Oryctolagus cuniculus: one gene and its partners. The main gene of each other region encodes a partner of the protein of the gene in region 4 in a complex. Links are inferred from orthologs where the notes say so. Each region holds a gene or a part of one and is shown on either strand. Other genes may lie near its edges. The genes, in order: PPARGC1B, PHAX, NCBP3 and NCBP1.

Region 1 (5,942 bases), on a different chromosome or scaffold from region 4:
TAATGCGGAGTCAGGGTGACAACACATCCCCTGGGGTTGATTTGCCCCATTTCTCAAGCTGCAGGCTCGGCTCCAAGTTCAGCGGCACTCAAGGCCTGGGATGGGCCACGGCTGGAGCAGTCCCTGCAGAAGCCCTGGGCCTTCAATGCCTGCCACGCCTCCCCACCCATCACCTGCGCTGCATGCATCCAGGAGAAATCGCTCTCATAACACCAACGAACTCAGGCCTCAGGCCCTGCAAGGCACCTTGCTGCACCTCCTCTCACTTCCCGGGTCAGAGCTTTGTGCACCGAGTTTCTCCTCCTCGGAGCCCTGCTCTCCCCTCCCCTCCCGGAAGCCCCGCCTCTTTCCTGAGCATGTAACACTCGAAGCTGCAAGATCTCCAGGCAGACGCAGACACCACACAGGTGCTTTCTGACTCCAAGCAGTTTTCTGGTTGGGGACAAGGTGCGCTGTGGGGAGAGGGGGCGGGGCCCTTAGCTGCACTCCATCCACTCATATTCTTTACCTCTTTGATGCATTTTCCTTCGGTAACCAGAGCCCCCGAGAGCGAGGACTCTGATTCAGCCTGGTACCGACTGAGGAAGGAGATGGAAGAATTCCACATAGCGGTTGGATTGGACATTTTTGGAAAACACCAGCAGGGCACACAGAGACGGTAGGAGCTGCCCTGCGTGGGCAGCTTCAGCACAGGCCGGGGGAAGCTTTGATGGCGAGCACACGTAAACACCATCGAGAGCAGACATGAGGACCAAGCTATGATGAGATGCTTGCCAGCAGCGGCTGCTCCCTCTGGATCGCTCCTGAATGTGGTGGGAAAGAGAGCAAGGTGGGCTCGTTTTCCTGAAAGACCTTGGCGCGCCCTTGGGGATGACACACAGCACTGAGTGACTCTTCGGGACAGAGGTCGTCCACAGTGGTCAGCTCTGGAGCTTGTAGCCTTTCACGGCTGGGACAGCAAGCCAAGGCTATCGTCAGCTTCCGACCCCACACTCGGGCTCTGCTATCTAAGCTCAAGGGCCAACGTCTAAATATCTTCCAGTCTCCATGTACCCCGACGCGGTGGGTGGGCTGGTCCTTCCTTCAAATCTGCATTTCATGACCAGAAAGTGCCACCAGCCCCAGACAGAACCTGTGGCCAGTGCCAGAGGAGGCGGCCAACAGAGGGGCTCAGAGAAGATGCCGATGACTCCTTTCAGCACAGAGGTGCCGGCGGGGGGACGGGCCCCCTCCAAGTAACAGGGAATTCTTGCTGGGGTCACAACTTGGATGCTAGTGCTCATTCTCGTTCCCAGGTGAAGGCGGAGGTCACTCCCTGATGCACACCAGGACGTAGCGGAGGCAGCAGCAAGACTGAAATTCTATCCCACCCCACAAACCTGTCTAATGTGCCTACTATGTGCTAGGCAGTGAAGAGCTATAAAGGAACTTAGAACGACCAGGTCTGTACCGTGGAAAGTCCCTTTTTTGGTCCATCTGGATAAACCCTGTCTTCACCAAAGCTGTTCCTGCCTGCTCTTCCGCTCCCCCGTCCCGCCCTGCCTGAGAAGGGCTGTGTGTCACAGGGCACGGGGAGTCCCAGGCCCAGAATGGCTTTAGGGGTGTTTTCTCTCCTAGATTGGGACACGACAGACGGGGAAGGGTTGGCATAAAACCCAGGCAGCATAAAAGGTTCTGTGTTGACTGATCGGAACCTCTCACAGCTTAGACCAGGATGTGTGGTTGATTAAACTCTGGCCAGTTAGTAATGGCAGCCCAGAGCACTGTGTTGTGGCCTCTTAATAACACATCTGGGGTCAAAGAACATGAGTGCTGTGTTAGATTAGTTATATCTGCATTGGCCAAGAACAGGGCAGTGGTGGTGCCTGTACTTCGTATGTGCCACCCTGAGCTAGACGCTGCCTTAGCAGAAGCTGAGACTGCTGGAAATGGCTGAACTCTCCCTCTCACTTCACTTTATCAGGGGTCCAGAAAGGTCAAACGACTTGACACACACAGGAGCTCAAATTCTCTGATCCTGCTAAAGCCTGTGCCCTCCAGCCTTACCGAGGGACTGAAAGCACGCTCACCTTCAGGACAAGGTCATGGGCTCAGTTTACCTAGAGGTATTTGATAATCTGAAAAAGAAAAAAAAAAAAAAAAAAAAAAAAACTACCAATTCTCAAGGGACTAGGTCAAGACTAATGAACCACTTTCAAGCATTTTGAAAGTAGCAGGACCCCTAAAAAACAAAACAAAACCTTCCCAAAGACCCCTGCTGAATGAAGGGGATCAAGGAGGAGATGCTGGCGGGCAGCAGGGGTGCCCACCTTGCCCGGCCACTGCCGCCCTCAACAAAGGCCCCGCAGAACATCCAGCTGGGTGTGGCTCTCACATTGTTCAAGAACCAAGCCTCAGGTCAAGTTCAGACAGAATGTTTCCCAGTGGTGGAGACTGTCACCTCCATCCCTAGCCTCACACTGCCTCCTGGCTCTACTCTACTCCACTCCACCAAAACAACTCTACACGTGAGGACCAGGTAAAGACAACAGCCTCACAACAGGGAGAGGAGGGGCCGGCGACTGGCCCCAGAGGGACGACAGCCATTGCCAGGTGCATCACAACCCACTGACGGCGCATTGCCCACAGGCAGAGGCAAACCACAGGACCACTGGGCTCAGAGCTGACGGTGTGCACAGCACGTGTGCCACGCCTGGAATGTGGCTGGCAACATGACTCAGCTGTGGTCTGGATGCCCCAAATGCTGGGAATCAGGAGGTCTGGTCTGGGTCACTGGCCACGGGATCCCAGACAAGCCGCTTGTACCCTCTGGGCACAGCCTTGCTTCTCCTAGACAATGGGCACAGTGCAGCTGGCCTGGCCCTCTTTACAAGGTACGGGAGGGGCTGAGAGCGAACAGATGGGCACATGCCAGAAGGGGCCGCTGGACACAAGATGGGGAAGACCCAGAAAGCTGTCTGTGCTGCTCCTTGTGGGGCCGGAGGCCACACAGCCCCTCCAGGGCAGCCTGGGAAGGGAAGCAGAGCAGCTCAGCGGCAAACATCTTAGGACAGTGCATAGTTAAAACTCAAGGAAGCGATACAATAATCCCAGGCACAGCACATCTGAGCCATAAATACAGTATTTGAAGGATATACTTTGTTCTTTTTTTTTTTTTTTCAATTAAAAACGAGTTGATAGTCCTGATTCTATTCACAAGTAACAAGTTCATCATCACACACTACAGACAAACAGTGTTATGGCGAACACAGCTGCAAGGCTACGCAGGGATGAGGGGGCACAGGGTGACCGACCCAGCACGGGAGGCGCGCGCCCGGACAACCCGTGGGAAGCGAGGACACCAACATGGCAGTGGAACATCAACACCATGGGGACTCACGGACAGAAGCAGCTTTGTTCAATGTAAACATTGATCTTGTTCTGAAAAGGACAGCAAGTTCAAGTCTCTCTTCCGTGTGTACTCTCACGCTCGCTCGCGCTCTCCTCCTCGGCGACCTCACTTCTTTGAAAACGTAAACATATTGGAAGGGCCTTGTCTGAGGTATTGAGGTATTCCTCGAAGGGTAAGGCTTGATCAGTGCAGGCTCTGCTGGGCCTCCTTCAGCAAGCTGTCAAAATCCATGGCTTCGTACTTGCTTTTCACGGGCGTGGGGAGGGCCTCTTCAGAATTGGAATCTGGCGGGGGGGGGGGGTGGAGGAGCCAGGGAGAGGGGAAGGCGGTGAGCGACTGACGGAGCCCGCAGCACCGGGCCACCTGCCTCTGAGCTCGGGCTGTGGCCCGAGGCCCCAGAGCAGGGATGAGTACCGAGAGCACCGACCGCCCTTCTGCCTTGACAGCTCTGCCAGTGCACCTACGCTTTGGGCCCTGGTTGTTCTGTTTGTAGAGCAAGGCAGGGCCTGAGCTGGGGCACCCCGAGCTCCTTTCCAGCTCCAGAACCTTAGAGCCTGCTGCTGACTCACACATGGGAAGGCTAACAAAACTGGCATCTCTGTCTGGCATACATAGGGAAACTGAGGCCCACAGGTGCACCTGCAGCCGAGCGCAGCACCGCCTGGTGAGAACCCACTGAGATCTGCTGCTACCAGCCTTGGAGCCCGCAGGCCACACTGTGCTCATCCCAACGAGTGATTGTTTCCTACATTCTGCTTCTTTGTCCTGGGCCAACTTGTCCACAGCTGGCAAGGGCCCACCACTGGTACTGTTCCACTGTGGCCCCCCCATAGACACGGCTGCACTTTGTCAAGGGGTCACCAGGGAACACCTCTCAAGAGGGCAGGGTAGCAGGTGGCCCCGCTAGGTCAGAGACAGCAGCCATGGCTCTGCCAACCAGCTGTGAACACAGGGTGGCCCTCTCCCCACAGGCCTCGGGAAGCTGGGCTACTGCTTCTTGGTGGCAGCCAAGGGACAGGACAAAATGGACCAAAGGCTGGAAGAAAAGGAAGATGGGAGCCCCCAGGCCAAGAGGCTGCTGGGGCAGCTGGGGGCCCGGGGAGGGGAAGCGCGTCCAGGAGGGGCCTTGGGTCTCGCCAGCTGGAGCCGGACCTCAGGCACTTACCATAGTCGGTGTACCTGGGCCAGCGGAAGTGCTGGAGCCCTCCGTAACTCAGCTGGAAGGAGGGCTCGTGGCGCTGCAGCCCCGCGCCGTTCCTCAGAGACAGGGCCGCGTGCTCGGAACACCGGAAGGTGACGTAGCCGCACTTCTCGCCTCTAGGGGAGAAGGCAAGGGAGAGCATTCCCAGGGCGCTGCCCGACCGCCCAGCACCACACAAGGAGCAGAGAGCCACGCGGACTCCGCGCCCACGTCACGTAGCCCCCAGGCTGACCGCTGCAGTGGCAGTAACAAAAGTCGCAAACCTGTGCGGACACAGCCTCACACTGTCTTAGATGACCCTGGGAGGTGGCTACTGTCATTACCTCCACCCATGGTCGAGCCTGAATTCAGACCCAGGCCTTCCAGGACGTTAAAGCCGACGCTCCGAACAGACTCCCATAACTCTTTTCTGTGCACTTGCCCTGCCAACTGCCCGTTCCCACCATCACATGACCCTGCACCCTGCAAACCTGGCCCCAGGCACCACCTCCACGGCTGCCGCTGTGGTCTGCACTGCGTCCACCATGGCCGGTATTCGCTAACATCACCTTCCTCCTGCCTGCTTGGCTTCCAGCCCCCTTCCTCGGACAAAAGCATCGGTTAGCCAACCAGGCTCAGGGGGCCGGGGGAAGTCCCAGGAAGGTGGCTCTCCCTGGATACAGTGGTTGGTTCAAGGGTGAGCTGTCACTCAAAACCAACCCCCAGAGAACTCAGCCCAGATCTTTGCTGGAACTGTGAGGGCGACGCCTGCTTGCCCTGGGGTCTCTAGGTTGGTGGGAGGTAAGCTTAGCACTGGAGGCAGCCACTCTGCAAAAAGGAGGAAAGTCGGCCTGGAAAGGCTTCCAGAGCAAGGGGGCCCTAAACTCAGGTCCACTCTGACATTCTGCTTCGCGAACAAGAGGAAGAATCCAAAGGGCAGAGACGAAGGGGCCGTTCCCTGCAGCTCTGTAGGCATCTAATAAACATTCAAGGGCATCCCATTCCCAACACCCTGCTGAACCCAGGCCAAGTTGAAACTCTTCTGCCTCTTCAGATGCCTGCAACTGGTAGTGTGTATAAGGCTCCTTCTGGAAGATCTTGCATAATGAATTGGGACTGGCAGTGTGGTATAGTGGTCACGTCGCTGCTTGCAATGTGGCATCCCCTATCAGAGTGCCAATCTGAATCCCAGCTGCTCTATTCCCAATCCAGCTCCCTGCTAATGCACCTGAGAAAGCAGCGAAAGACGGTCCGAGTACTGGGACCCCTGCCACCTACATGGGAGATCCAGGTGGAGTTCCAGGCTCCTGGCTTCGGCCTGACCCAGCCCTGCCTGTGACGGCCATGTGGGGAGTGAACCAGCAGACAGAA
Region 2 (5,986 bases), on a different chromosome or scaffold from region 4:
GGGTTCTGGCTTTGGCCTGACCCTGTCCTGGCTGTTAAAGATCATTATGGAGTGACCCAGCAATATCTGTCTCTCTCTTTCAAATAAACAAATAAACCCAAAAAGAAAAAAAAAAGTGTTGGTGATGGTTGTACAGCTTGATAAATTTGCTGAAAAAGCCCAACACTTGAGATGAGTGAATAGTATACGTAAAATAATCCTCAAGAGCTAGTTTACAAAGTCACAAGTGCTTGAAAACTCTAGAGAGAGACATAATTTAAAAAGATGCCCTGGGGGCAGGCACTTCGTGTGCGCGTGCACATGCTGCTTGGGATGTGTGCATCCCGTATCAGCGCGCGCATTCAGGCCTTGGCTCTGCATCTGATCCAGCTTCTTGTGACCGTGCACCATGGCAGACAGAAGGCACCATGTCGCAAACCTGGACGGAGTGCTAGGCTCCTGGCTTTGGCCTGCTCCAGAAAATAACAACAAGTCAATACACAGAATTCAAAAAAAGTGCCATATAAGAGCTTTATGGCACAAAATGCAAAGAGTTACTTAAAGTTTTAGAAGTCTGCAAGATTATCCTCTCAGTCTTGTTCAAATTTAAAACACAAATGTACTGACATAACCAAATAATCACAGAGTTCTTTAAGCAAAATAACCAAGTAATTAAAATTCAAGGCAACATTGCTAATGCGTTTGCCATCATGAATGCACACTGAGTTTCCAACAACAGAACAGAGCTGGGTCGAGCGTGCATTGGTAGGCCCGAGTTAGCTGCTCACCTGTAAGCGATTTCATCGGCCACCTTCTCCTGAGAATCCTCCTCCGTGATCTCGTACCGGCCTTTGTAGTTCATCTCCAGCCTGGCTCCCACTCTGTCTCTGACGGGCCGCTTCCGCTTGAGATGCCCTTGCCCGTTTTCCTCGTCCTTCGACCCCCCCTTTGTGCCACCATGCATGTAGTCGTCTAGCTCCTTGTCTACATCTTTTGCGTGCTCCTGAGATTCCCTCCTGAGTTTCTTAGCCAGCAGGTAATTGTAGGTCTCTGACTGCCTGCTTCTGTCAATCGTGCCCTCCATTCCCAAGATGCCCAGTTCAGTGGCCACGGCGTCCTGGTTCTGCTCCTGCAGCACGGCGCCCCAGATGTTGTTAACCTTCTTTCCTCCGGCGGCGGGGGGCTTCTGACTACTCTGGTCAAACTGGAAGGGCTCTGGCTTGGGAGGCAGGCTCAAACACTTCTGTCGCTTGCGCTTCCAAAGAGAGCTCTCATCATCTGAATCAGAAAAGCTCTCTTCACTTGAATCCACACTTTTAACAGTCCGGTAATGTGACGCGGGTGCACCCGCTGCTGTGGGACTCTGCAAGCCCCTCGCGGCACTGCCCCCTACTAGAACTTTCTGCAAGCAAGAGGAGACACGGTCAGTTCCACAAAACACATTCCGCCATGTATTCCACCCGCCATGTGCTGCTTAAAAAAATAAAGAGCGAGGGAGAGAGAGACTCAACTGGACTATTCTAGAACAAAATTGTCTTCAAAAACATCTCTGAAACCAATGCTTATGGAATTTGCCAAATATAAAGCTAAAAAACCTGGCATGGGCGTTGTGAAGTGCAATGATTAAGCTGTTATCTTGGACACCTCACATCCCGTATCTGAGTGCCTACTTTGAGTCTTGGCTGCTCCACTTCTGATCCAGGTCCCCGCTAATATACTGGAAGGACAGCAGAAGATGGCCGAAGTCCTCGGGCCCCTCCTACCCATGTGGGTGACCTGGGTGGGATTCTGGGCTCCTGCCATCAGCCTGGCCCCACCCTGGTTATTGGGGGCATTTGAGGAGTGAACCAGTAGATCAAAGATGTGTCTCTCTGCTTTTTAAATAAATAAATGAATCTTGGAAGAAAAAAGGCTACGCATTCTTATTTCTACAGCTAATGCAGCATTTAATTCTAAGGTCTCTTAAGAAATTAGCAGAGCTCTCAGTTCTCACTTTCAGAAGATTTCGTCTTTTCCATTATTGTCAGAATGCCTGGGAATGTCACACGCAATTTGCTACTGGCAGTTAGAACTGTTTTCTTTCTTTCCACAGATACCCGCCTTGCTGTACACACACCAACTTCCTCCATAAGGTTCAATGATTGTTTCCCTTTGGATTAGAAGGCAAACTCCTACCGGGAGGAACCCGTGATATCACTTTTTTTTTTTTTTTTAAGATTTATTTATTGAAAGCCAGACGTATTGAGAGAGATCTTCCAAGCAGGAGCTTCATCCGGGTCTCCCACATACGTGCAGGGCTCAAGCACCTGGGCCGTCTTCTGCTGTTTTCCCAGGTGCCTTAGCAGGGAGCTGGATCCGAAGTGGAGCAGGCAGGACTCAAACTGACGCCAATACAGGATGCCCGCGTGGCAGGCAGGGAGTTTACCCAGTACCTTGTCCCCCTAACAATCCTAAAACTGCAGAGTTCATGACGCCAGTTTACCAAGTCACGGAGCAATTTAGGTAAAACCACTGAGAACAAATTGTGTCGGAATTAACTCCCAGGGCATTTATATGCAAAAGGAGTCACCTGTGCTTTAAAAAAAAAAAAAATAACTACCGCCACATAACAACTTCACAACCCCCTGGCGTCCAAGGTGGGGTTCTGCAGTGTAGTCTACACCGAGTGAGCTGCGAATCAGAGCTCTGAGCAGATCCAGCACCTCAAACTTCTGTGCGCGGTGAAACACCGCACACCCCGTCTCCAGCTGCTTGGAAGCACACAATGCACGGAGCTCCAGAACTCACGCTCCCTCGGCACCCGGGACTCGACACGAACTCCGCGTGCGCCGGGCTCCCGCGAGCGCCAGCAGCCGGGCCGGCGGCGGCCGAGTCCCGCAGGAGTCCGTCCCCGCGTCTAGGGCGACGTCGGCCGAGTCGCTGCGTGCGGGCCGCGCCCCCGCCCCGCACGACCACCGCGTCCGCGGCGCGACGCCCGGGGGACGCAGGCGGGCCGGACGGCGGGGGACCCCGGCGGCCCCGCAAGACAAAGCCGGGCGGGCGGGCGGGCTCTGCGGGCCACGGTCCCCTCACCCCGCGGGGCCCGGATGAGCAGCGCGGGCTGCTCCAGGCCGACGGCCCCGGGTCTCGGCCCTTCCGGGACAACGGAGCGACGCCAGGCCGGGGACGCCGCTGGGTTTTTACACCACGACCAGCGGCCTGGCAGGCGGAGTCGCCGCCGCTGCACGCCCGCCTCCAGGCTGGCGGCCCGGGCTCCGCGCGCCCCCCGGCCGCCCTCCGCACTCACCGGCACTGGCAGCGGCCTGTCGCTGGGCGCGACCATCATGTCGGAGTCCGAGTCGGAGAGCTGCCCATCTTCCATGTCGCCCGCGTCCAGCGCCATCTTCCCGCGGCGCGCGCTCGGGAGAGCACTTCCGGCGGCGCGGCGGCCGCTCGGGCGCCCCCGCGCGGGAGCCGGCGGCGCGGCAGCTGGCGTGAAGGCCGGGGCGCGGGGCTCCCGCCTGCGAGCCCGTCCTCGCCGTGTGTGCGGGGGCGGCGGCCCGGGGGTCCCGGCGTGGCCTGGCTGCCCCGGGCAGGTGCACCCGGAAGGAGGCGTCGCCCCTCGAGGCCCGGGTGCGGCTGCCCCGGGCAGGTGCACCCGGAAGGAGGCGTCGCCCCTCGAGGCCCGGGTGCCCGCGCACCGCCGCACCTCCCTGGTGAGCGGTGCTGCTGAGTATCTTCTACCCGCTGTTTGGCATGTGCGTGTGTCCTTCGTGTTGAACGTCGGAATTTTTCCCTTTTCACTGAATTATAAGCATGGCATCCCTGCTCTGGAGACCCCTTGTTGAACATCTGATCTGATTGGAGTTGTACCCTGCTCCCTCCGTGTCTGTGGCTCGCTCTCACATCTGATCAGTGTCCTTTGAGGAGCCATGATGCAAAGTCTCCTTTATGGGTGGTTTCCTTGTGTGCGTTTTGTGTCCCAGGGGCACAGAATAGCCCAGTGCTTTTCAACCTGGGGCTGTTTCCTTCTGCAGGGGACGTCTGGCGTCGTCTGGAGATCTTTTCAGTTGCTGTGCGTTGGGGGTGATGCTGACACGGGGGGCCAGGCCAGGGTTGCACCTCAGCATCCTATAATGCACACAACAGCGCCCCGCAACGAAGATGCTCTCCTGTGTTTTCTCTCGAAGTTTTCACGTTTTTGGGTCTGTGGTCTGTTTTGAGTTAATTACTATATACGGCTTGCAATAAGAGTCAAGAATCTGGATTTGTGTGCGTGTGTGTGTATGTGTAACTGTCCAATTAGTAGACCACTGTTTGTTGAAAAGACTACTTTTTCCTCTTTGAATTTCCTGTGCTCTCTATTCTGCTCCGCTGATCTTTATGCCTGTTTTACACCAACCAATGTGATGCTTGATTACTGTAGATTTAAAATAATGTTAAAGTTATACGGGTTTTTTTGGAAAAAATATCTTAGCTATTCCAGATTCTTTGCAATTCCTTTTTAAATTTCTAACCTGGTGCACCACAATGCTGGCCCTTTTTTTTTCTTTTCTTTCTTTCTTCTTTTTTTTAAAAAATATTTATGTGTGTGTTCATTTTACGGAGGCAGAGGGATGGAAGAAGGGAGAGACAAAGAGGTCTTCCATCCACTGGCTCACTCTCCAAATGGCTGCAGTGGCTGGGGCGGGTCCAGGCCAGGAAGCCAGGAGCCAGGAGCTTCTTACGGGTCTACCAGATGAGTGGCAAGAGCCCAAGCACTTGGGCCATCTTCTGCTGCCTTCCCCAGCGGATTAGCAGGGAGCTCGATTGGAAGTGGTGCCCGTGAGGGGTCTGGCATTGGGCAGCGATTTAACCCACTGTGTGACAGTGCCGGCCCCAGGCATCACACATTGTCAAGGAGCAGTTCTCATGATGCTGGGCTCCTTGACAACCAGATGGGCAGTTGGTGTCTTGGCCAGAGTCCAGCAGTTTGCAGGATGACTTGGGAGGCCGTCTCTGCAGGTAATTTCCCTGTGAAACAGGAGCCCAGCCTTCTGCTGTAGAATCATTTTTTGTGAGCCTGGTAGTACAAGTTTTCCCAGGACAATAGTGTCATTGACTGATGTGGTGTGAATTTTCCCTCCAGATGTTTGTGGGTTGGAGGCATGGTCCTAGTGTGGCAATATGGGAGGCAGTGGCTTACTGGGGAGATCCTTGGGTCATGGGGGTGTGGCTCTCAGGAGGGAATATCGGTATGTTCTTAGACTTGTATATATAAATCATATGGAATCAGTTGAAAATCAATTAAAATTGAGCCCAGTGCTGTGGCGTAGCAGATAAAGCTGCTGTCTGAATTACTGGCATCCCGTATGGGCGCTGGTTCCGTCCTGATGTAGTAGGATTCGTGTACCAAGACAAGACACCAAGGGCTCTTAATGGGAAAGTAGTCTTTTATTATGCTGGCATAAGGCCCGAGTGGAATTTCTTATCCAAAAGCCTTGAACAAAGTTTTCTCTTATAAATGGTTTTAGCCTTGTTGTCTCCCTTATAAGGTCACCTACATACATTTGATTGGATAGTTTAATATTACGTGGCAGCCACGAGATTGATACAGTATTGCCCATGGGAATGTAGTTACTGAAGATTTGTTTTTCCCACACCCACACTGAGCTGTAAGCTGTCTGGCAAGGGTTAACCATCATTGCTCTGTACTAACAAGCAGAACCTAAAATGGTTACATATGAGCAGAGAGGGACCACAGTTCAAAGTCACAGGCAAGCAGATAACAACTACATTTCATCCCCAGGACAGATGGCTCCCTTTTTCTTCTAGCCTTGGGAAGGCCTCTACCGCGACTTTGATCATGTTAGAAACAAGTCTCATTAAAGCACAGAGGCCTCTGCCACACTTGGTGCTCCACTTCCAATCCAGCTCTCTGGTGTGGCTGGGACAGCAGTAGAAGATGGCCCAAGTCCTTGGGCCTCTGCACCCACATGGGGAGACCGGGAAGAAGATCCTGGCTCCTGGCTTTGGATCGGCCCAGCTA
Region 3 (5,190 bases), on a different chromosome or scaffold from region 4:
AAAGCTTACACTAAGTCTCTGAAATAAAAAATAGCTTATTAGACAGAATATGTGATCTCTTAAGAAACCAGTCTTTCCCTTAGGAAATGACATGAGCTGTGTAAGAAAGGCACACTAACCTCGTTTCTTTCCTGACAGGATTACTAGGCCAAGAAATTCAAGGAATACCATAGATGGTGCTCTTGCTCTAGTTTCTCATGACAATAAAATGAAAAGACTTATAATTAATGCATCTATGTTCGCGGCATGATTACAGCCAGACGCTGTTCAACATTCACCGACAACTGGCTGAAGTCGAAGCCATGCGGACCAAGGCAGAGAGGACACAAAGGCAGGAGGGCATAGCACTGAAGGGCAGAAGTAACACGAACGCTAACTCAACAGACTAAACACGCACACTTTCAATTCACAAGATGTAATGAAACTGCGGTAAATAAAAAAGGATTTTCTAAAGGTGCCTCAAATACAAGTTGTTTTGCTGGGTGCAATTCCTGGGAGAAAAGAGCTGACCAGACAAAGAGTATCCCGCCATGACCTGGCCAGGACCGAGACAGCACTACCAGTCCTGCCATACTCTCCAAGAATCCAGGCCTGTCTGGAATCAACACCTCACCTGATGAAGGTCATTTGGAAACTGAAAAGGGTCCAGAGAAGAGAGATCAGAAAGCTGTGTCATATAAAGGAAGCGTAGGGACGCCAGTAAGCCCATGCTTTCATTACATGAAGGCTACATTGTGTGGCTCAAAGGGCCACACAATAACTAACAACCAATAACTAGAAGACAATGCTTCTTCAACACAAGGAAGAATCCAAAACCAAAGCTGCCTGTCTTGTAAACAGTTCTCAGTGCTATCACTAGGAAACATTTAAGCAGACGCCAAAGGACCAACAGGAACTTTGGGAAAAGGCCTGCAGCCCTGGGCTTGGGAGCTTGGTCTGGATGACCTTTAAGGTGCCTTCCATCCCTGAGACCCTTGATGTTGGGGACAAGACAGAAGGAGTTTGACATCAAATCATCCAAAAGAAGCAAGTCACTCTTGGGACAGAACAGTGTAGTGTAGCGCATCCCAAAGCATGGTCCCCAGTGCTGGCAGCCTGGGTGGGAACACAGGCTTTAGCCAGGCCAATCCTTCAGTCCAGCCTTGCTCCTAACCTAGCTGTAGAACTCTGGGCAAGCATCTTAACCTCTCAGGTAAAACACAAATGCTAAGTGCATTCCCTCATAAGGTTATTGAAAGGATAAGTTAACTTCTGGCAGAGTGACCAGCATTTAACAAACGTTATTTTTTATTAGTAGTAGTATTGGTATTGGTATTGGTATTGATATTGGTATTCATAGTAGGAATGAACAACTTGTCACCTGGAGGAAGCAAGATGCTGTTTCCAACTTCTCCATTCTCCCAAGAGGCTGCTCACTTAGTAAATGACAATAACATTTACTGAGCACCTCCTACATGCCAAGCACCACTCTAACAACTTAACGTTTTGTCACCGCTGGGAGCAGCCAGGATGAGAACCTGCACTCCAACATGGGATACAGGTGTCCCAAGCAGCATCTTAACCTGCTGCACCAAATACCCAACCCTGGGCTCAAACACCGCTTCATGTTTACTAGCTGAGCGACCGTGGGCATTTCATTAAATGAATGTGTTCTAGCTTTTTTGTGTAAAATGGGGATAAAAATATATACCTCATAGAGTTGTGGGAAACAATAAACAAATGCAACACGTGCTTGACAAGTACTTGGTAAGAAAGCAAGTTCCCAAGAAATAGTAACTATTCCCGATTCTTCCTTTCACTCAACATGGTGCTGAGCTTCTGCTCCCATCAGCCAAGCACGGCTGGAGAAGCTCGCACACACAGACCTTCCATGCACATTCAGAGGCTGCCATGGAGCCCTTAAAAAAAAAAGCCAAACTGAGTGCAGGCTTCGTGGCACGGTGGGTTCATCCATATCAGAGTGCTCACTCAAGTCTAAGCTGCTCTGCTTCCCAGCCACAGTCCTGCTAGTGTACCCAGGAAGGCAGCGGAAGCATGTGTCCCTGCCACCCACGTGCAACGTGCGGATGACAGGTTCTGGGTTTTGGTCTGGCCCAGCTCCAGCTGCTGCAGGCATTTGGGAACTGACTCAGCAAATGGAAGATCTTTCTCGCTCGCTCTCTCTCTCTGCCTTTCAAATAAATAATTAAACCCCCAACCCCCCCCAACACATACAAACTTACAAATACAACACAGGGGGGCCTTCTGCATTCAAATATTTATATTAGAGTGGAATAATAAATAAGGACATAGGCTCACTAAGAGTACTAATTTTCCCTCTATCTGTACACTGCTTTGGAAGACTGGAACAGATTGCTGTACCAGTTGAGAATTTCTAATCTAAAAACCTGAAACATGAAAGGCTCCAAAACCAAACCCTTCTTGAAGATTTTTATTTATTTTCATCTACTTGAAAGGGAGAAAGACAGAAAGCACTTTTCCATCTGCTAGTTCACTCCTTCAATGCCCATAAAAGCTGGGGCTTGGCCAGGCGGAAGCCAGGAGCTCAGAACTTAATCCTGGTCTCCCACATGGGTGGAAGGGACCCAAGTACTTGAGCCACCACCTGCTGTCTCCCATGGCATGCAGCAGCAGGAAACTGAAATCAAACTGACACTCCAATATGGGATGCGAGTGTCTCAAGCAGTAGCTTAACCACTGCACCAAACACCCGCCCCCAAAACCAGAACTTCTTGAACATGATGGAAAATCATATACCTGATTTCATGTGACAGGTCACAGTCAAAACAAAGGTGCATTAAAAATACTGCATAAAATTACTTTCAGGCTGTGTGTACTTCAGAAAGTTAATAGAAAATGGAGTTAAAAGATAAGTTTATTTTGGTGCAACCATGAACTTTTAGAAGATTCCTCATATAAAGCAAGGTTAGATGCATGAGGCAATGGCAGGGAAAAGTCACTCCCTGGGTTAACGTGCACAGATTCCCCCAGAAACACCTTGTACCTTTCTTCATCATGTCTCGGTCCAAGGCGACGTTTCTCTGGGCAAGATTGACTTCTGATCGAAAATGGAAACGCCTGGCTCGCTGTTCTTTCTTCTCAATTGCTTCCTAGAAAGTATAGAAAAAGTCAAGGAAGTGAAACATGGAAAAGGAAAGTTAAATTATCACATGAATCGGCGGCAACTCCAAAACACATCAGGGGTCAGGCACTTGGCCCGTCAGCGAGGAGTGAGGAGTGCCTGAGTTCAACGCCAGCTCTGGGTGCTGACGGCAGCTTCCTATCCGTGCAGACCCTAAGAGGCAGCAGCGATGGCTCAGACAACTGCACTCCTGCACTGAGCTCCTGCTGCCACCTTGGGCCCAGGCAGCTCATCACTGGCATGTGAGGAGTGAACCAGAAGATGGGAACTCTCTTATTCCCTCTCACTAATTTAAACACAAAAATAAATCTGAAATACTGAAACTGAACAGTTTTATAGAACACTGGATTTCATAGTCTATGGTGTGGGAGGGCCCACGTGAACACTGCTGTATACTGTAATACTCTGCATTCTATCACAGCCTATCGCTGTGGCTGGGACACAGGAGGAATTCAGCAAGCATTTGCTGATTGAACGAATAGTGCTGTCCAGTTCCTGAACTATTAGCAATGATGCCAACAAATCACAGCTACACAACCTCAACATTCCAATTCCCCGGGTACAGAACTGAGGCCCAAGTCAGAAGGCTGGAGGTGCCTGCTCACGTTAAGGGGGACAAGCTTCTGATTCTAGGGCTATTTCTAGGAGCCTCTCCCCATCACCACCACTTCCATCATCTGTGGGCACAGTAATCACACCTGGCACACTCCGCCACGTTACATCCGCCCAAGCAGTCCCCGCCCTAAAGCTAGATCCTCGTTTAAAAATAACTCTGATGCAAAGACACACTCTCCACTCTTCCAGCCTGTGTCCCCGGAATTGCCAGTTTTCACCTTTAAGTGACAAGAAGCACTGATGCCTCACTGGAAAAATCATCTACGTTGTGAGTTTCTCCCAACACCTAAGATAAATCCAGGTCCAACTGCCCGCCTCTAGTGGCTCTTAAGAACCCTGCACTAAGAAAACATTTTCATTTCATTCTACTTCCACAGCTGTCTAAAAGATGATCAGTTCTCTTTCTTTTGGCCTTTCAGAAGTGTAATTTAAAATTCTGTGCCAAACTTAATTACACACATTAAAATCAGAAAGAATATCTAAATTGGCTATCAGTGCTTAAAACAAATATGTATTAGCTATTTATAACAAAAATCATGGGTTTGAGCAGCATTCAGTGGAAGAAAGGTAATACTCTCAGGTACCGGGTGGCTTGGCTCTTAAAGTTTAGATTGTGGGGCCCGCGTTGTGGCATGGCGGGTAGAGCCGCCACTTGCAAGGCTGGCATCCCATGTGAGCACTGGTTGGAATTCCGGTCCCTTCACTTCCGACACAGCTCCATGCTAATGTGCCTGGAAAAGCAGCGAGGGATGGCCCAAGTCCTTGGGCCCCTGCACCCATGTAGGAGACCTAGAAGAAAATCCTGGCTCCTGGCTTCAGACTGGCCCCGCCCTGGTCCTTGCAGCCATTTAGGGAGTGAACCAACAGACTGAAGATCTCTCTCTCTCTCAAAATCTACCTTTCAAAGAAATAAATCTTTATGAAAAAAATAATAAAGTCAAGTTTAGATCACCACAGTCAGAAAACCTGTTTTTCAAGTCTGTGACCCATGAAGAATGAAGACATTTACTAAGCACCTACCACGTGCCAGGCACTTTTCATGTTTTCTTTCATTTAAAGTAGAAGAGATACATATTTTCTAAGAAGAGACACAGCTCAAAAAAAAGCATTCTCGGTACAAAGCTTTTTCTTGGAAATGGTTAAGCGCAGGCATCTAAGTACAGTGATTTTGATCTTTTTGTGGATGAGGAACACAAAAACGCTGCCTGGACACTTTCAGGATGCATGAGGGCATCACTGACGGTATCACACAGTTTCCCTCAGGTTTAATGCACTGACAAAAGAAAAGGAGGAGGTTAAAAATATTCACTGTTTTGCAGGTCCTAGGGACCGAGTTCACTAAGCTCCCCTGTGTATCAAGCTGAACAAACCGTGGCCTCTCTTACCTTGGAGGTGACGTCAATCCCGGTGATGAAGCTGCCAGCCTTGTTTTC
Region 4 (5,190 bases):
GTTAATACACCGATGTCAGGAAAACCCACCAGTAACTCAGCTACTAACTTTCAGGTATCAAGAATTTATACTGTGATCTTTTATTGCCATTGTATTAACACATTCCTGGTGCTAAACGGATGAAATTCAACACAAGCGGTTCTCTCACCTGAGGCACATCTTCTTCCTGAGTTACACTTACAAAATTTTCAAACATAGCAACCATTGATGGGGCAGCAATCACATGACAATTCACAAGATCAGACAAAAAACGGACCTGTGGGGGCAAGCAATTCCTGCTATTACATCTGAATGTTCAAAATAAACAACAGAAACGATCTAAACCAAGGGTTTGAAAAACCGTAGCCCAAGGGCAGCATCAAGCGTACTCTGTTTTTGTACAGCCTGTGGACCAACAAAGCTTTCAGGTTTTAAATTCTTGGGGGGGGTGGGGGTGGGAAAGAGTATTTTCTAACACAAATTACTTGAAACCCAAATTTCAGCACCCAGTTAATTTTTACTGGAAGATAGTCATGCTCAGTTATACACTGTCCATGGTAGCTTTAGTGCTACAATGGCAGAGCTGAGTAGCTGTGAGAGAGACCACATGAAGAACAGAAAACCTGAGCTCACAGGTTCCCATGCTACACGACACTAAGAGCTCAGCCTGTAAATATCTTAGTGACATCACCTACAAAGTCCTTTCCCATTTGGCTATAATTTTCCTGAACCATAATAATGGAAAATCTGTTTAATTTATTGGGTGCCCTTTGTGGCCACTGGTAAGCACTTCTAAAGTTCCTGTTACAGGTAAGATCCTGGCAGGCACATTCTCACACAAAGGGATGAGTCCTCTACTGAGAGGCAAATCAAAGTGCTATAAGAACAGTGACAGAGTGAGTAGGGTCAGCATCATAAAGGCAGTAACTAGCTTAGGTCCTAACAGGTACATACCCCTCAAGCAGTGAGCAGAGAGGGCAAACTAGGGAGCAGGTAATTTTGACACAGCGGAGAGTGTAGGAGGTACGAAGAAACAGATCAGGGCAACCACTAAGGGTCCAGCTAGAGTCTGGACCTCAGTCTTATAGCCTGATGAGGGTCCAGACTCTGACAGTATACTTCATAAAAAGAATCTGATCCCTTATCTCCAACACAGGTATATTTACAATATATACTGGATCACTACCAATTTATGTTTTAGACATTAAGGCTTAATTCCATTTATAATAAATGAGTTCTAATATTTACTTTCTGCAACCCAGTCAATCACCTTTTCCCCAGGATTTATGATCACTGAGGACAATGGGAAGGAATTGGGGTTTTAGACACCAACCACCATGAGCTGAACACAAAGAACACTTTGGTGTCACTGCAGAAAGACTGAAAGAAAATTTAGATGTGAAAAAATTAAAGAGATCTTATGAACACGAGGAGGAAGGTGTGAAGTACACTGGTAGCCCTTGAGATAGAGAAGGAACAAATATGAGAGAAATTTAGGAGGCAGAACTGTAGGCTGCAAACAACTCAAAAGACAAAAGGAAGACAAAAGTTAACACTCAGGTTTCTGGGTGGGTCACCAAGTAGACAGTGGCCACTGTGAGTTGAGGAGATAAAAAGGAAATGTGACTGACATTAATTTAAGGATTTCCAGGTAAGGTTATCTTAGAGCTTTGCAGGGAACATTTGAAATACAGGTCTGGTACTTATGAGAAAGTTTGAAACTGGAGAAACACTTTCAGATTTGGGGGCAGCATCAAAACAAAGGTGGTTTATGAAGCTAGCAGAGTGTTTAAAGGAAGATGACCCAGTAAAAGATGAGGAATAGAAGGGAGGTGGCAGCTGGCGCCGCGGGTTCTAGTCCCGGTTGGTGCGCCGGGTTCTGTCCTGGTTGCTGTGGCCCGGGAAGGCAGTGGAGAATGGCCCAGGTGCTTGGGCCCCTGCATCCGCATGGGAGACCAGGAGGAAGCACCTGGTTCCTGGCTTCGGATTGGTGCAGCACGCCGGCTGTAGCAGCCATCTGGGGGGTAAACCAATGGAAGGAAGACCTTTCTCTGTCTCTCTCACTAACTCTGCCTATTAACAAAAAAAAAAAAAAAAAAAAAAAAAAAAGGAGGTGGCAGGTGATACAGGGAAACCAGCTAGGATTCCGAGTGAAAAAAGACCCTGGATTTGGTATTGAGCTCTGTGGTGCCTTTAATGAGAACGGTTTTAAAAGAGCAGTTGTTAGGGTCAATAGGAGACTGACTCTCAAGAGAAAAGACACAGTATTTAGTTAGTGCTTACCTTTTTCCTCCATACCAACACTAAGTCATGATATACAGAAATAAAAAGTTAAGGGTGGTGCTCGCTCCAGCAGCTAAGACACAGGTCAGGATACCAGCATCCACATCAGAATGCCTGGGCTCCTGCCACCCACATGGGAAACCTGGACCGAGTTCCTGGCTCCAGGTTTGGGCCTCCCGCCCCAGCCATCATGGGCATTTGTGAACTGAACCAGCCAATGGGAGCTCCGTTTCTCAAATAAACTTCAAAATTATAGAAATAAAAACTTACCAAATACACAGCTTCATTATAATTGTTTGCTTTCAATGATTCTTTAAGTTGACGAATCATAGCTTCTACAAATTCTCCACCAAAGTTGTAATTCCTGGCATTCAGCAGTCCAACCAACGTTGTATAAATTGTCAACTTCTCAGGTAACAGACGTGCACTGATTTGAGAACCAGTACAACAGGAAACCCCCAAAACAATGGCATTATATTAATTTGCTGAATTTCATATAAATGTTTCATCATTCATTACTTTTGGAATAGGATCACCATTATGTTTGTAAAACTATTCCATAAAAAGCTTATGTGTCCATAAGAAGAGCTGCAGACATGGATTCCCAATTTTTTCACTTTAATTCTAGTTAATTAAAAAGTTAGGAAAGACTGGGGCTGGCGCTGTGGCAGAGGGTTGAAGCTCCGGTCTGCAGCATCGGCATCCCATATGGGCGCAGGTTCATGTCCCCGCTGCTCTGCTTCCGATCCAGCTCTCTACTGTGGCCTGGGAAGGCAGTAGAAGTTGGCCCAAGTGCTTGGGCCCCTGCACCCATATGGGAGACCTGGAGGAAGCTCCTGGTTGGCTTCGGGTCGGCCAATTGGAGAGTTGACCAGCGGATGGAAGACCTCTCTCTCTCTCTTTGCCTCTCTGTAACTATTTCTCAAATATATAAAATCTTTAAAGAAAAATTAGAAAACGGTTTAATTGTGAAGTTATTTCACCACTGAAATAAATACCACAGCTCACGCTAGACCAGTTTTTCTTCAAGTATGTTGAGTAGAATCAAATAGCAGCTCCCCAGACATGACTTCCATGGTAAAATACAAGATTCTGGGTACAACAAGTTTCTTTAATGCAAAATCATTAAGAGGGTGGGGGAGTGGCACATGGCACAGCACTGAGTTTTAAAACTTAACTAACCAAATGTCATGGGACCCATTCCACTTTGAGAAACACTATTCTAGCCACTTATAAAAGATGCAGAATAAAACCAATTTCAACTAATTTCCTATCACTTAAACTGTTGAAATCTTAACTTGGTACTCATTGTTGATTTCATTAAAATTATTTGAAAAGTAGGAGAGAGGATTACAATAATAAACCTTTAGAAGAAGCAACTGTTGCTTCATAATTTAGGCAGCCTTTAGAAATAAGTTCAAACACTAAAGCGACTCCTGAGATAATTCAACGGGGAAGGGATTCTTATAAGTTTATAACCTTACATATTTATAAATCTAGTTAAAGGTTTTCCTAAGGTATCTAGCATTAGGGACAATTTAGGTCTTCAAAAATACTTGGACAGAAATCATACTCCCTATAAACCTCCCCAAACCTCAAATTAAAAAATAGTGCCAAGCAATACTGGTACAGCCTTAAACAAACATAGCCTCTGACAAGAGTTTAAGTATAAACACTATTCCATGCTACTAAGTGCTTTTAAAAGAGAAGGAGTTTTTTGGATAACCACAGCAAAATGATTTTTATTAGTTTTTTAAAGATATGTGTTCCTGAATATTAACTGTATTCCTCTTGAAAATTCTAAAGCAAATTAACTGTACTTTTAATAATGTGACGTTAAAATGAAACCCACTAATTGTATGTGCATTTTTTAAACTTCAAAAATTAACTGCATTAAAAAAATAACTTGGAGCCGGTACTGTGGCATGGTGGGTTTAGGGTGCCTGCAATGTGAGCATCCCATATGGTAGTGCAGTTTGAGTCCCTACTGCTCCTCTTCCAATCCATCTCCCTACAAATGCTCCTGGGAAGGCAACTGAAGACAAACCAAGTAACTGGGCCCCTGCCAGCCACATGAGCGGCTAGGATGAAGTTCTGGGCTCCTGGGTTCAGCCTGGCCCAAACTTGGCTGCTGCAGCCATTTGGGGAGTGAACCAGTGGATCGAAGATTATAGTCATCTGCCTTTCAAATAAATAAGATCTTCCAAAAGACAAAACCAAAAAACTTAAGTCACCTTCATAATTCAAAAACAGCTTACAGAGGTTATAATTTCATTTAAATTACGAAGACCCCTATTTATCCAGAAGTTAGTTCTTTGCAAGGCCAGCAATTCAGAGCAATCAATGTCTACCTGAAAGTCTAGATCATTATCTTGGTTACTGACAGACTCTTTCATAATTTCATGAGACTTTTCCCACCGTAACATCCTCACAAAATGCGGTCACCAGTATTAGCCAACCTAACTCAGAAGATTATGTCTATTAATACCTTCAAAAGCATTTTCTGTCTCCCAAGAACCACAACTTTAATTACCAGTTCTCAAATTTGTTTGGTACTACCAGCTAAAAAAATAAGTTAAACTCTATTTATACATTTAAAAGTATATGCTTACAAAATAAAATCTCTGGGAAAGAAAATGTCTACTTTCTCATTTAAAAAGTCAATCATGATTCTACGGTTCTAACAAACAAAACTTTTCAATTTTAGTCCTATTTATCTTTAAGAAAGAGTTCAAAGGGCTAAAGATCATTTCATTTGTATAAATTTCCCAAGAGGAGAGCCATGACATTTGCAACATAAACACGACTTTTGAACATTTCCCAAAGCATTTAAGAGTAGATAACACATTATCACCTGGATTCATAAATCTTTTGCATACATACACTGTACAAAGAAGTCTTAAGATCTTGCTCTTGTAGTTGGGAAGA

Evidence for each region.
Region 1: the proteins of NCBP1 (region 4) and PPARGC1B are in contact, whole or in part, in a crystal structure (PDB 6D0Y), measured with the Homo sapiens proteins. The link is inferred for Oryctolagus cuniculus from reciprocal best matches to the Homo sapiens genes NCBP1 and PPARGC1B. Residues at the interface, in NP_002477.1 of Homo sapiens: Glu26, Asp29, His30, Ser33, Leu34, Lys37, Val38, Lys41, Ser42, Ala43, Cys44, Asn49, Gly52, Leu53, Val56; in NP_573570.3 of Homo sapiens: Tyr1006, Glu1007, Ala1008, Met1009, Asp1010, Phe1011, Asp1012, Leu1014, Leu1015, Lys1016, Glu1017, Ala1018, Gln1019.
Region 2: the proteins of NCBP1 (region 4) and PHAX are in contact, whole or in part, in a cryo-EM structure (PDB 8PNT), measured with the Homo sapiens proteins. The link is inferred for Oryctolagus cuniculus from reciprocal best matches to the Homo sapiens genes NCBP1 and PHAX. Residues at the interface, in NP_002477.1 of Homo sapiens: Cys380, Lys381, Pro384, Pro388, Gln389, Leu391, Ala392, Thr395, Phe417, His420, Leu421, Asn423, Phe424, Gln425, Arg427, Trp428, Ser429, Asp432; in NP_115553.2 of Homo sapiens: Ile114, Asn115, Asn116, Ile117, Trp118, Gly119, Val121, Leu122, Glu124, Gln125.
Region 3: the proteins of NCBP1 (region 4) and NCBP3 are in contact, whole or in part, in a cryo-EM structure (PDB 8BY6), measured with the Homo sapiens proteins. The link is inferred for Oryctolagus cuniculus from reciprocal best matches to the Homo sapiens genes NCBP1 and NCBP3. Residues at the interface, in NP_002477.1 of Homo sapiens: Lys330, Ile377, Glu378, Cys380, Lys381, Pro384, Pro388, Gln389, Ala392, His420, Asn423, Phe424, Gln425, Arg427, Trp428, Ser429, Glu431, Asp432; in NP_001107590.1 of Homo sapiens: Glu572, Asp574, Glu576, Leu577, Gln578, Ala580, Trp581, Gly582, Leu584, Ile585, Lys588, Glu589, Arg592.

The regions. Positions count from the first base shown.
Region 1 is NC_091437.1:37,173,137-37,179,078, reverse strand, and holds the end of PPARGC1B (peroxisome proliferator-activated receptor gamma coactivator 1-beta), read right to left. Parts: intron 4,709-5,942; coding exon 4,557-4,708; intron 3,676-4,556; coding exon 3,575-3,675; 3' UTR 1,250-3,574; downstream 1-1,249. UniProt on the Homo sapiens protein: Plays a role of stimulator of transcription factors and nuclear receptors activities. Activates transcriptional activity of estrogen receptor alpha, nuclear respiratory factor 1 (NRF1) and glucocorticoid receptor in the presence of glucocorticoids.
Region 2 is NC_091437.1:15,870,432-15,876,417, reverse strand, and holds the start of PHAX (phosphorylated adapter RNA export protein), read right to left. Parts: upstream 3,425-5,986; 5' UTR 3,362-3,424; coding exon 3,266-3,361; intron 1,382-3,265; coding exon 768-1,381; intron 1-767. UniProt on the Homo sapiens protein: A phosphoprotein adapter involved in the XPO1-mediated U snRNA export from the nucleus.
Region 3 is NC_091448.1:49,102,938-49,108,127, forward strand, and holds part of NCBP3 (nuclear cap-binding protein subunit 3), read right to left. Parts: coding exon 5,143-5,190; intron 3,111-5,142; coding exon 3,005-3,110; intron 1-3,004. UniProt on the Homo sapiens protein: Associates with NCBP1/CBP80 to form an alternative cap-binding complex (CBC) which plays a key role in mRNA export. NCBP3 serves as adapter protein linking the capped RNAs (m7GpppG-capped RNA) to NCBP1/CBP80.
Region 4 is NC_091432.1:201,440,560-201,445,749, reverse strand, and holds part of NCBP1 (nuclear cap-binding protein subunit 1), read right to left. Parts: coding exon 5,146-5,190; exon of another isoform or gene 5,140-5,145; coding exon of another isoform or gene 5,117-5,139; intron 2,690-5,116; coding exon 2,533-2,689; intron 257-2,532; coding exon 149-256; intron 1-148. UniProt on the Homo sapiens protein: Component of the cap-binding complex (CBC), which binds cotranscriptionally to the 5'-cap of pre-mRNAs and is involved in various processes such as pre-mRNA splicing, translation regulation, nonsense-mediated mRNA decay, RNA-mediated gene silencing (RNAi) by microRNAs (miRNAs) and mRNA export.